Callithrix jacchus: one gene and its partners. The protein of the gene in region 3 purifies or fractionates together with the protein of the main gene of each other region. This does not show direct contact. Links are inferred from orthologs where the notes say so. Each region holds a gene or a part of one and is shown on either strand. Other genes may lie near its edges. The genes, in order: MIER1, EHMT2 and CDYL.

Region 1 (2,741 bases), on a different chromosome or scaffold from region 3:
TCACTGAATTGATGTCTAATGTTTGCCACATTCATTCTAAAGTAGATTAAGAGGCTGAGACTCCTTGGCTCAGGGAGGCAGACAGTTGGGACTACTACTGCTTTTCCTGTTTGTTCTTAACATATTAACACTAAATAAATCATTTTCTTTTCCTTTTTAAAAAACTTTGATGAGAACATGCTTCTTTAGGATAGTGTTCCTAAGTTACTATCCTAAATTACTATAAATTACTCGTAGCTCAAAAGCCACTCACATTATGTACAGTCAAGACTGCCAGCTTTTTCAAAGAAAGGAAGGAACTTTCCATCCCAATATTATAGTACTTTTTTATATGGGATTTTAATTAGTACTTTGAAATCTTACAATTATTTGTGACCTAATCACAGTCTCAGCTAGCTTTTTGGACTTGATCCTACAGAATTGTTCTCTTCAATATCTTATGATGCATAATCCCCATGTGCATTCATGATTTGAGTGCATTTTTGAGTTGATCAAAATATTTTGTTTGATCAAAATACAATATTTGAGGCTCATCCTTTATGTTGAATATTTTTCAGGCAATTAAATTGTAATTATTCAGTGATGATGCATCCTATATTTTACTTCGTATCACTAAAATTTCCATTCATTTTACAGTCAACTCTAAAGTGAACTTTTCTGTTTTATTACAATAATTTTGCTTTTACTTTTCTCCTCTATTGTAGAAGAATTTGTTTTACTTTTAGCACTTTCAAGTATATGCTTGGATAGGGCAACATTAGCTTTTTAACATTATGACAGATATATTTAAGTCTACTTAGGTAAATAGTGTGTGATCTTTTTTTTTTTGAAATGGAGTCTTGCTCTGTTGCCCAGGCTGGAGTGCAGTGTTACCATTTTGGCTTACTGCAACCTCCGTCTCCCAGGTTCAAGCAATTCTTCTGCCTCAGCCTCCTGAGTAGCTGGGACTACAGGCCTGTTCCACCACGCCCGGCTAATTTTTGTATTTTTAGTAGAGGTGAGGTTTCACCATATTGGCCAGGCTGATCTTGAACTCCTGACCTCGTGAGCCACCATGCCTGGTTGTATGTGATGTTTTAAAAGCACAGTTCCCAGAGATTTACATTAAGAATAAAGTCATCATATCTTGCCTTTATATGGTAGCTTACTCAAGCTTTTATAAGAAAGGATATTCATTTTGCTTTTTACATAGTTTCAGAATGTTGAAAACCTTTTGTTAAATCTGAGTAATTTATTGCATTTTTCATTGTTAATTCAGCTTATTTAGATTTCTGGATCCAGTGCTTATTTGCTGTCACATATACCTAAAATGCTTTTAATATATGCCAAATTCTCTTCTTAGTTCTTTACATTTATGAACTTATTTAATTTTCACAACAACCCTGTGTGGAATTTCTATTATGATCTTCATTGTATATATGTAATGAAATGGAGGTAGAGAAAGAGTAAATAATTTGCCTAAGGTCACATAACTAATAAGTAATAGAGCAAGAATTCAGACTGTATATATATATTTGATACCTTGCTTACTTGATAACAATAGCAATTTTACAGTAAGCTGTTTTACAGTAGTTTGCAAATTTAGCTTTTTTGTAATTGTGGTTTCATTTTATGTTTCTTTCAACTTAGGAGTGTCATCTAATGGACCAGGTGAAATATTAAACAAAGAAGAAGTAAAAGTTGAAGGGTTACACATTAATGGACCAACAGGTGGAAATAAGAAACCACTTCATGGAGATATGGATACTAATGGTTATGAAACAGATAACCTTACCACTGACCCAAAACTTGCCCATATGACTGCAAGAAATGAAAACGATTTTGATGAAAAAAGTGAGAGACCTGCCAAAAGGCGAAGGGTAAACAGCAGTGGAAAAGAAAGTCCAGGTTCTTCTGAATTTTTCCAAGAAGCAGTCTCACATGGGAAATTTGAAGAACTTGAAAACACAGATGACTAAATTTTAGACCTATTTTACTTTCTTTGGAGTAAATTCTGGTGTGACTAAAATTTTCAGGGTTGATGGGTTACCTTAAAAAGTTGAATTTCTTGAAGCAGTTTGTTAAAATTTGGAAATTTGAATTGAGTCTTAACTTTAGGAAATGAGGTTTCATAATTCTGCCTTTTGCAGATTTTTTTTACTTTAAAGCTGTCAGACTCTTTTAAGGATATTTTAAAAATTAGTAAATTTGAGTGAACTAAAGATATATCTGCACCTTCTCATTTGATGTATTAATCATAAAATTTCACTACGAGGTAATTTTTGCTTAGTTTGATGGAGGAATGGGAAAAAACTCAAGTCCAAATTTCTGCTTAACACCAGTTTCTCTGAGTTTCTTGAAATGTCTTGTCTTTATAACAGACATTTTTCTTGCCATACAGTTTGAGTATCATTATTAAGGAAACCCTTATGAATCCTGAAAATTATGCTAGCATGATTTTTTTATATATAGAAGTTTAAAAATAAACCAGGTCAGGTTTGTATATGTAAAATTGTTGACATCAATGATGTCTTTCCATATTCTTATCTGGGCTTAAGAAATACATTCTGTATTTTTCCAGATTCTTTGTAGCCTTTGAAAGATTTTTACAGTACATATGTCTTGACTGAGCTGTCCTTTCTTAATACAAAAGCTTGTATAATTTTCTTAACTTGTACAGTTGGTAAACTTTTATGAGAGGAATTGTTATTCTGAGTCTGTCAGCTTTCATTTTATTTTGCTAAGGTTTTTCTAATGATTTT
Region 2 (3,657 bases), about 14 Mb from region 3:
ACAAGAAATATCGGCAGAGAGAATGTGTCAATCTCCACCCAATCAGCTAACTCCTAAATATGAGAAATTCTGTAGGACAACTGACCTGGTTTCTTCAACGGATAAATGGCAAGACATATATATATATATATATATATATATATATATATATACACACACATATATATATATATATATATATATATACATACACATATATATTTGTTTGTTTGACAGAGTTTTGCTTGTTGCCCAGGCTGGAGTGCAATGGCACAACAGCTCACTGCAACCTCTGCCTCCTGGGTTCAAGTGATTCTCCTGCCTCAGCCTCCTGAGTAGCTGGGATTATAGGCACCTGCCACCATGCCCAGCTCATTTTTGTATTTTTAGTAGAAATGAGTTTTCACCGTGTTGGCCAGGCTGATCTCGAACCCCTGACCTCAGGTGATCCACCTGCCTCCCAAAGTGCTGGGATTATAGGCATGAGCTACTGTACTTGGCCTCCAAATTTTTTTTTAGAAGATGGGGAAACCTAAATACCAAGAGAGACCTAAAACAAGTGTTAATCAATTCAAGGTGTGGGCCTCATTTGGATCTTGACAAAAGCCCATTTATGAGACAGCTGAGGAAATGTGAAGACTGACAGGACATTTGATGGTATTAAGAACTCATTGGTAAGTTTTTTTTTGGTGTGAAAACAGTAGTGCAGTGATGTTGAACAACAAAAAGAGGCCTTATATTTACAGGTACATATGGAAATATGTCTAGGTAAAATGATACAAGGTCTGGAATTTGCTTTAAAATAACCCACTGGGTGTGTGTTGGGAGAGGCACAGATGGGTCAAGACGGGCTGGGTAATGATAATGGCTGGGGCTGTGTGATGGGTCCATGGGTGCTCCCTAGTCCACACTTTTGATTATACTTGCAAGTTTGCATGATAAAACGTTAAATTAAAAAAAGGCAAAACTAGAGAGACTGAACATTATACTGTATAGGCAAACATACAAGATAAAACCAAACAAAGAGCATGGGGATAAACAAATAAATGACAAGATTTTTTTGTTTTCCTTTTTAAATGGTGCATGCCTGTTAAATGGTAATTTCATTAGCTGAAAAAAAAAAAAAAAAAAAAGAATACTAAACCCAATGTGCAGGGGTGGCCGCCTTCGTGGATGGAATGGGCGGAGCATACATTGAAAATGAGTTACAGACAGCGTGGGGCAGTGACTTAGTGGGTGTTCAGAAGATAAAAAGGACAGAAAGGAGAAAAACAGGAAACAAGGAGGACTGGCTAGTGAGCCCCAGCCCCGGGGAAACACAGCTCTGCCTCACCTTGCTGTCAGAGTCCATGCGCTCATCCACAGAGTAAGAATCATAGTAGAGACTGAAGTCATCACCCACCACTGTCTCCCACTCCTCCAGGGACCCGGGGTCCCCTTTTGCCAGGGTCACTTCTCCTGAACGCCGGGCAGAACCTAACTCTTCCGACTAGAAAGATTAGAAAAATTGAGGTCACTGACACCTTGCCCATTTCTCTTGAGGACAGGATGCAGCCCTACTCCTGAGCCTCCCTCGGAGCAGCCCCCCAGAGGGATAGGCCCTGGCTCTGCTGCTCACCAGGCTGCCTCCTGAGTTCAGCTTCCTCCTTTTGGCCACATCTGGAAGAGGAGAGAGAATGGTGTGGGGCCTATAATTGAAACCTTCAGAACAGGCCACATCAAGCCACAGTGGGCAGGGGATGGGACTGACCTGAGGTCACCTTTCCCAGTGAGTGGACGTCATCGCTCATGCGGAAATGCTGTACTTCAGGGGGCCGCTTCTCAGGGACTGGGGGCTGTGGGCCAAGAGGGAGCACACGGAGGGTCAGAGAGCACCTACGGTTAGCCTGGAGCCTAGGCAGGGGTGGGTGAGTAAGCTGCACTTCCAAATGCCATCTCCCCAGAGGAAGAGTGTCAAGCACACTCACACTCGCTTATCTCTGCAACCATGCAGAGCAGGCCCTTTTCCATTTTACAGGTGAGAAAACAAAACTCAACCAAGTTAAAGGCCTTTTATAGGAGGCCATGTACGCAGCAGAACTATTCACAACAGCTGAAGTGCAGAAGCAACACAAGTGCCACTGACAGATGAATGGATAAGCAAAATGTGGCATTTATATACAATTACATATGTGTATAGCATTCAGCCATAAAAAGGAAAGATTATACTTTTTTTTAAGAGACAGAAGAGATCTTGCCATGTTGCCCAGGCTGGTCTTGAACTCCTGGTGTCAAGGGATCCTCCCCAGAAAGTGCAGGATTACAGGAGTCAGTCACTGGGTTTAGCCTTTTAAACATTTTTTTTTCTTGAGACAGAATTTTGCTTGTCACCCAGGCGGGAGTGCAATGGCACAATCTTGGCTCACTGCAACCTCCACCTCCCAGGTTCAAGTGATTCCCCTGCCTCAGCCTCCTGAGTAGTTGGGACCACAGGCGTGTGCCACCACGCCTGGATAATTTTGTATTTTAGTAGAGACAGGGTTTCACAGTGTTGGCCAGGATTGTCTTGATCTCCCGACCTTGTGATCTGCCCACCTTGGCCTCCCAAAGTGCTGGGATTTCAGGAGTGAGCCACCGAGACTGGCCTTAACCATTCTTTTTCTTTTTTTGAGACGGAGTCTTGCTGTGTCGCCCAGGCTAGAGTGCAGTGGAGGGATCTCGGCTAACTGAAACCTCCGCCTCCCGGGTTCAAGTGATTTTCCTGCCTCACCACTCCCCCACCCCCGTAGCTGCGATTACGGTGCCTGCCACTGCACCTGGATAATTTTGGTATTTTTAGTAGAGATAGGGTTTCACCATGTTGGCCAGGCTCGTCTCGAACTCCTGACCTCGTGATCCACCTGCCTCAGACTCCCAAAGTGCTGGGATTACAGGTGTGAGCCACTGTGCCAGCCTTAAACTTTTTTTTAAACTTCTTTTAGAGATGGGGTCTCGCTATGTTGTCCAGGTGAAAGGAAAGAAATTCTAACATGCTACAGTATAGATAAACCTTGAGGACATTATGCTAAGTGAAATAAGCAAGTCACAAAAACATAAATGCTGTATGATTGCCAGGTGCGGTGTTTCCTGACCTCAGGTGATCCTCCTGCTTCAGCCTCCCAAAGAGCTGGGATTACAGGGGTGAGCCACTGTGCCCGGCTAAAAATGTTTTTTAGATGGTAAATTTTATGTGACACTAGTTCCCTCTTATCCAGTTTTTCAGAAGTGATGTAGTGTATTGTTAGAAATGTGCTATTTTTTTTTTTTTGAGTCTCTCTCTGTTGCCCAGGCTGGAGTAGTATGATCTTGGCTCACTGCAATCTCCGCCTCTCGGGTTCAAGAGATTCTCACGAGATTACAGGTGCACACCACCAAACCCGGCTAATTTTCTATTTTTTGTTTTTAGTAGAGATGGGGTTGACCAGGCTCTTCTCTGAACTCCTGACCTCAGGTGATCGCTGGCTTCCGCCTCTGAAAGTGTTGAGATTACAGGCAAGCCACGCCTGGCCTATTGTTATGATTATGCTAGTTTATCATTATTGTTGTTAATCTCTCACTCTAACTCATTTATAAATTTTTCTCTATTATTTACAAAATGAACTGCAACTATAAAAATTAAAGTTTACCATAGTGAGAAAAGAAAAGTAGCTCATAGCAATC
Region 3 (3,657 bases):
GGCCACGTGGCAGGGGGCCCCTGAGCAGCTGGAGACAAAGGAAGTGTGCGGCCCTGGTGCTGACAGAAAGAGGGAGCCAGAGGGCAGGGGAGGGCTGGGTCACAGACATGCAGGGCACACCTGCTACTGAAGGCCAACTGGGGGTGGGGGTGCCAAGAGCACCACCCTTGTCTGAGAATGACTGAAAATGTATGGGAGCTGTAAGAAGGCAGGAAGCAGGAAGCTCTATTAGAAAGCTCCAGCAGGTGCGAAGTCATGAGGACTTCAAGTGAGGCAGGGCCAGGGCCTGGCTGGGAGAAATCTGTGTAAGAGAATTAACAACTGTGGCTGGCACAGCATGGCAAGTGCAAAGGAGCCACCTGTGTGAACTCCCAGTTGTGCTGTCCTGGGAGATGGACAGGTCATAGCACAACCAAGGCAGCTGCAGAACCCAGGAGCAGGGCTGGTGTGAGAGCAAAACCGAAGACACCACCTGTTCCAGGCAGACTCAGCTCTGATGGGAGAAACAATGGCAACCACACTGCCAATCATCCCATAAACGAGCCCAGCTCCTACAGGTCCCACTGGGTTAGCAATGCCTTCACTGAAAGGCATTCCTGCTAATTCAAATGGATGAGCAAAACAAGAACCAGCACTTCTGAATCAAGGCTGGCCGCACTTAGAAGAAAACGCTGCAAAGGAGAAGAGACTAGACTCACCACCTAAGAGGTGAAGAAAGGCAGACAGCTCCAGAAACGTGCTGTAAAGTTACCCACCTAACCTAGTTAGAGGGAGATATGTTTAAAGCAAGTCAGTGTGGTAGCAGTCTGTGGATGGCGCAACAGAATGAGACACCTAGTGCTGATTTAAGAGAAATGCCAAAGGCTTCAAGTGAAGAAAGGAGAAGCTGGCAACATCTCTGCAAGCCTCCAGCAGACGCTGTGGGAATCTCCATAGCTCAGGGCCTGATCTCTAGAGAAGGACCCACACCCTTTGGGATCGCCGCAGAGCTCCAGGCAGCTCCCCAGACACTCACCTTTCCCATTAACAGCTAAGCCTGTGGCCATGGCTGCAGTCACCGGGCCGGGCACCTGAGGCACTAGCGGGTGTATCCGGGGCCTGCTCCCCATCCTGGCCCGCTCAGCACCGGGGCCCAATAAAGCTCCGACTGGCTTTTCCGCTGCCACTTCAGGCGCCACCGTGTCCTCCTGACCCTGCTCGACGGGGTCCAGTTTCTCGGGGCTCTCACTCTGAAAGCCATCCACTGTGGTCCTGCTCTTAATGGGGCTCTTAGGCACGAGGATCTTGATACCTGACTTTGCTAGGTCCATGTTCTTCCGGCTGGAGAGAGATGGAGCTGTGTTCTTCCTGAACTTCTGGCTGGCAGCAAACAGCTGGCTGTTTTTGGATTCATGGTCTTTCCCAATCACAAGTGCCTTAGAAGAGGTCTTAGAAAAGTTGCTGTTGGTGGATCTGGAGATTTGTTTCCTAGCATTGTTGGGAGAGGTCCTGTTTGTTCTGGTCAACGTGCTCTCTTTCTGCTTCTCCGTGTGGCGTCTGTTGAAATCATGGATGTATTCCTCACAGTTGACGAGGTGCTGCTCCGGCTCCCAAGTGTCATCTTCGCTGTCATAGCCTTTCCACCGAACCAAATACTCTGTCTTCCCTTTTTTATTTTTCCTTTTGTCAACAATCCTTTCAACCTGTTTATAAAAGAAAAAAAATAGTTTAAAAAAATCAAAATTTTTTGAGAAAAGTACAAATGTAATTAAGAACATCAAAAATAGCAAAAACTATAATAGATTATAAAAATGATCTCTTCTCCAACCCCAATAAAATAGTAATAGGCCATTTGGGGTATGAGCAATTTCCCTGAAAGTAAGTCTAACAAGATGCTAAAATTTTATGCTGAGACGTGTGGCTATGCATTAGGTGACTTATGTTTTTGTGACTGAAAGGGGCTCTCTGTTATGTCTGTGTACAAGGCTGACCACTGAGTTGGTTTCCATACTCATGGCTAGAGCAGCCTGGGGCATCTGCAGCTGTGCCTGGTCATCCCCAGGGTACCAGCAGCAGGGACCCCAAGCAAGGCCTGGAGTGGTGACGGCAAAGAGCTACAAGAGTCTGAGAACCTTCTGTGGGTGAAACCGCCATCAAAGAAACATATGATCTGTATCAAAGCATCATTCAGAAGCACTCAATTAAAACCAAAAAGGTCAACAGAGAACATCATACTTGATTGTAATAAAACAGTCTAGAGCAATCAGGTTATTTTGAAATCTTAGTTTTAATTAATTTTACACTAACATCTTTCAGTGGAGATGCTGTCAATTGCTGAAATGGATGACCAATACATTCTGGATCAAAGTTATCAATTCACACCACCCTGCCTTGTAACCATGTTTTATCACTGTGACAAATTATTCTACCTTAACATCCTAAGTGTAAATGGAAGAGAGATCTTCCACAACTCACATGGACAAGAATTATCTGACACAGTGTCTCCATATGTTATTGGAGAAATACCTAGAATCTGTTGTTACATCAGAAGTTAATACAAAAGCATCAGCTCGCTTCCCGGCAGCAGCATGTGACTCTGTATCTTGTGGGCAGAGGCCTACAGCCACATAGCAGCTCTTTAATTAAGAACGCAAAGGTCTGAGCCCATCAATTATTAAGAACATCGGTACATTGATGTTAGAGGCAGAGGTAGGTCAGATACACAATGGCATGCCTGGTTCTCTAACATCCATCCCCCAATACTGGAGCCTAATGAGTAGAAGTGCAGGCAATTGTGGGCAACAGGAGAATACCCCATCCCCATCATTTACTCTCAAAGAAACAAAAAACTCTCCAGTGTATCTACCTCAGATACAGAAAATAGAAGCCCTTAACTACTGAACAGCCTAAAATTAAATATATATTATTGCTTCGGAGCAAAAAAGTATTAGGAACAGCAAGACCTTAGCTCATCATAGGGCCAATTTCATGTCTGACAGATCTCCACAGAGTCAGTAATTAATGTCAGGTCAGCAAGTGCAAGTCCACACAGTCCATATCATAGCAGGGAAGGCTTCTGAAAGTGATTTTTCCTCTGCTCCTTCACTTGTGAATAGTTGTGTATAAGGGTGTATTTCAATTTAAAAGACCTATTTCTGGAAAAGTCCATGTAAATGATGTTTTTGCAGAAACAGTTTAAGAGTTTTCAATAAAAAGAGGAGAAGAGATTATGTCTTACAGGAAAGCTATGTTTCATGTTCCCCCCTCCTCTGCCCAACCCACCTTAAATCCATTTCCACTCCAGAAGCGGGCAGTCTACTAGAGTATACTCCTGTTTGCTTTCCTCAGTTTCCTTAGAGCTGAGGCAGGAGCCTGGTGGAACACAGTGCATTTCTTTCCATTCCCTTCTTAACCATGTCCCACTGGATTCCCCAGGGCCAGCATCCCCTGGGGAATCTGCAGCTGCCAGGTCCCCAGGAGATTCTGCCCCTCCCTCCTAGGAAACTGAGCAAAGAGGAAGAGGAACAGTAGCCTCCACAGGTATGGGTAGGTGTGTGCTCCATTTTTAGGTATACTCAGTGGCCAGACTGAGTATACGTAAGGAAGTCACAGGGGACGCAACAGATCAGGAGTTGGCAAACTTTATATGAAGTGCCAAACAGTAAACGTTTTAGGTCT

What was found.
Region 1: the proteins of CDYL (region 3) and MIER1 purify together in Homo sapiens (co-immunoprecipitation; 3 studies listed by BioGRID and IntAct, counting the BioPlex papers as one, with this or other methods). This does not show direct contact. The link is inferred for Callithrix jacchus from reciprocal best matches to the Homo sapiens genes CDYL and MIER1.
Region 2: the proteins of CDYL (region 3) and EHMT2 purify together in Homo sapiens (affinity purification with mass spectrometry; 4 studies listed by BioGRID and IntAct, with this or other methods). This does not show direct contact. The link is inferred for Callithrix jacchus from reciprocal best matches to the Homo sapiens genes CDYL and EHMT2.

Annotation. Positions count from the first base shown.
Region 1 is NC_133508.1:104,195,941-104,198,681, forward strand, and holds the end of MIER1 (mesoderm induction early response protein 1), read left to right. Parts: intron 1-1,629; coding exon 1,630-1,958; 3' UTR 1,959-2,201; downstream 2,202-2,741. UniProt on the Homo sapiens protein: Transcriptional repressor regulating the expression of a number of genes including SP1 target genes. Probably functions through recruitment of HDAC1 a histone deacetylase involved in chromatin silencing.
Region 2 is NC_133505.1:39,399,115-39,402,771, forward strand, and holds part of EHMT2 (histone-lysine N-methyltransferase EHMT2), read right to left. Parts: intron 1,815-3,657; coding exon 1,730-1,814; intron 1,639-1,729; coding exon 1,598-1,638; intron 1,469-1,597; coding exon 1,313-1,468; intron 1-1,312. UniProt on the Homo sapiens protein: Histone methyltransferase that specifically mono- and dimethylates 'Lys-9' of histone H3 (H3K9me1 and H3K9me2, respectively) in euchromatin.
Region 3 is NC_133505.1:25,590,694-25,594,350, forward strand, and holds part of CDYL (chromodomain Y-like protein), read right to left. Parts: intron 1,683-3,657; coding exon 1,016-1,682; intron 1-1,015.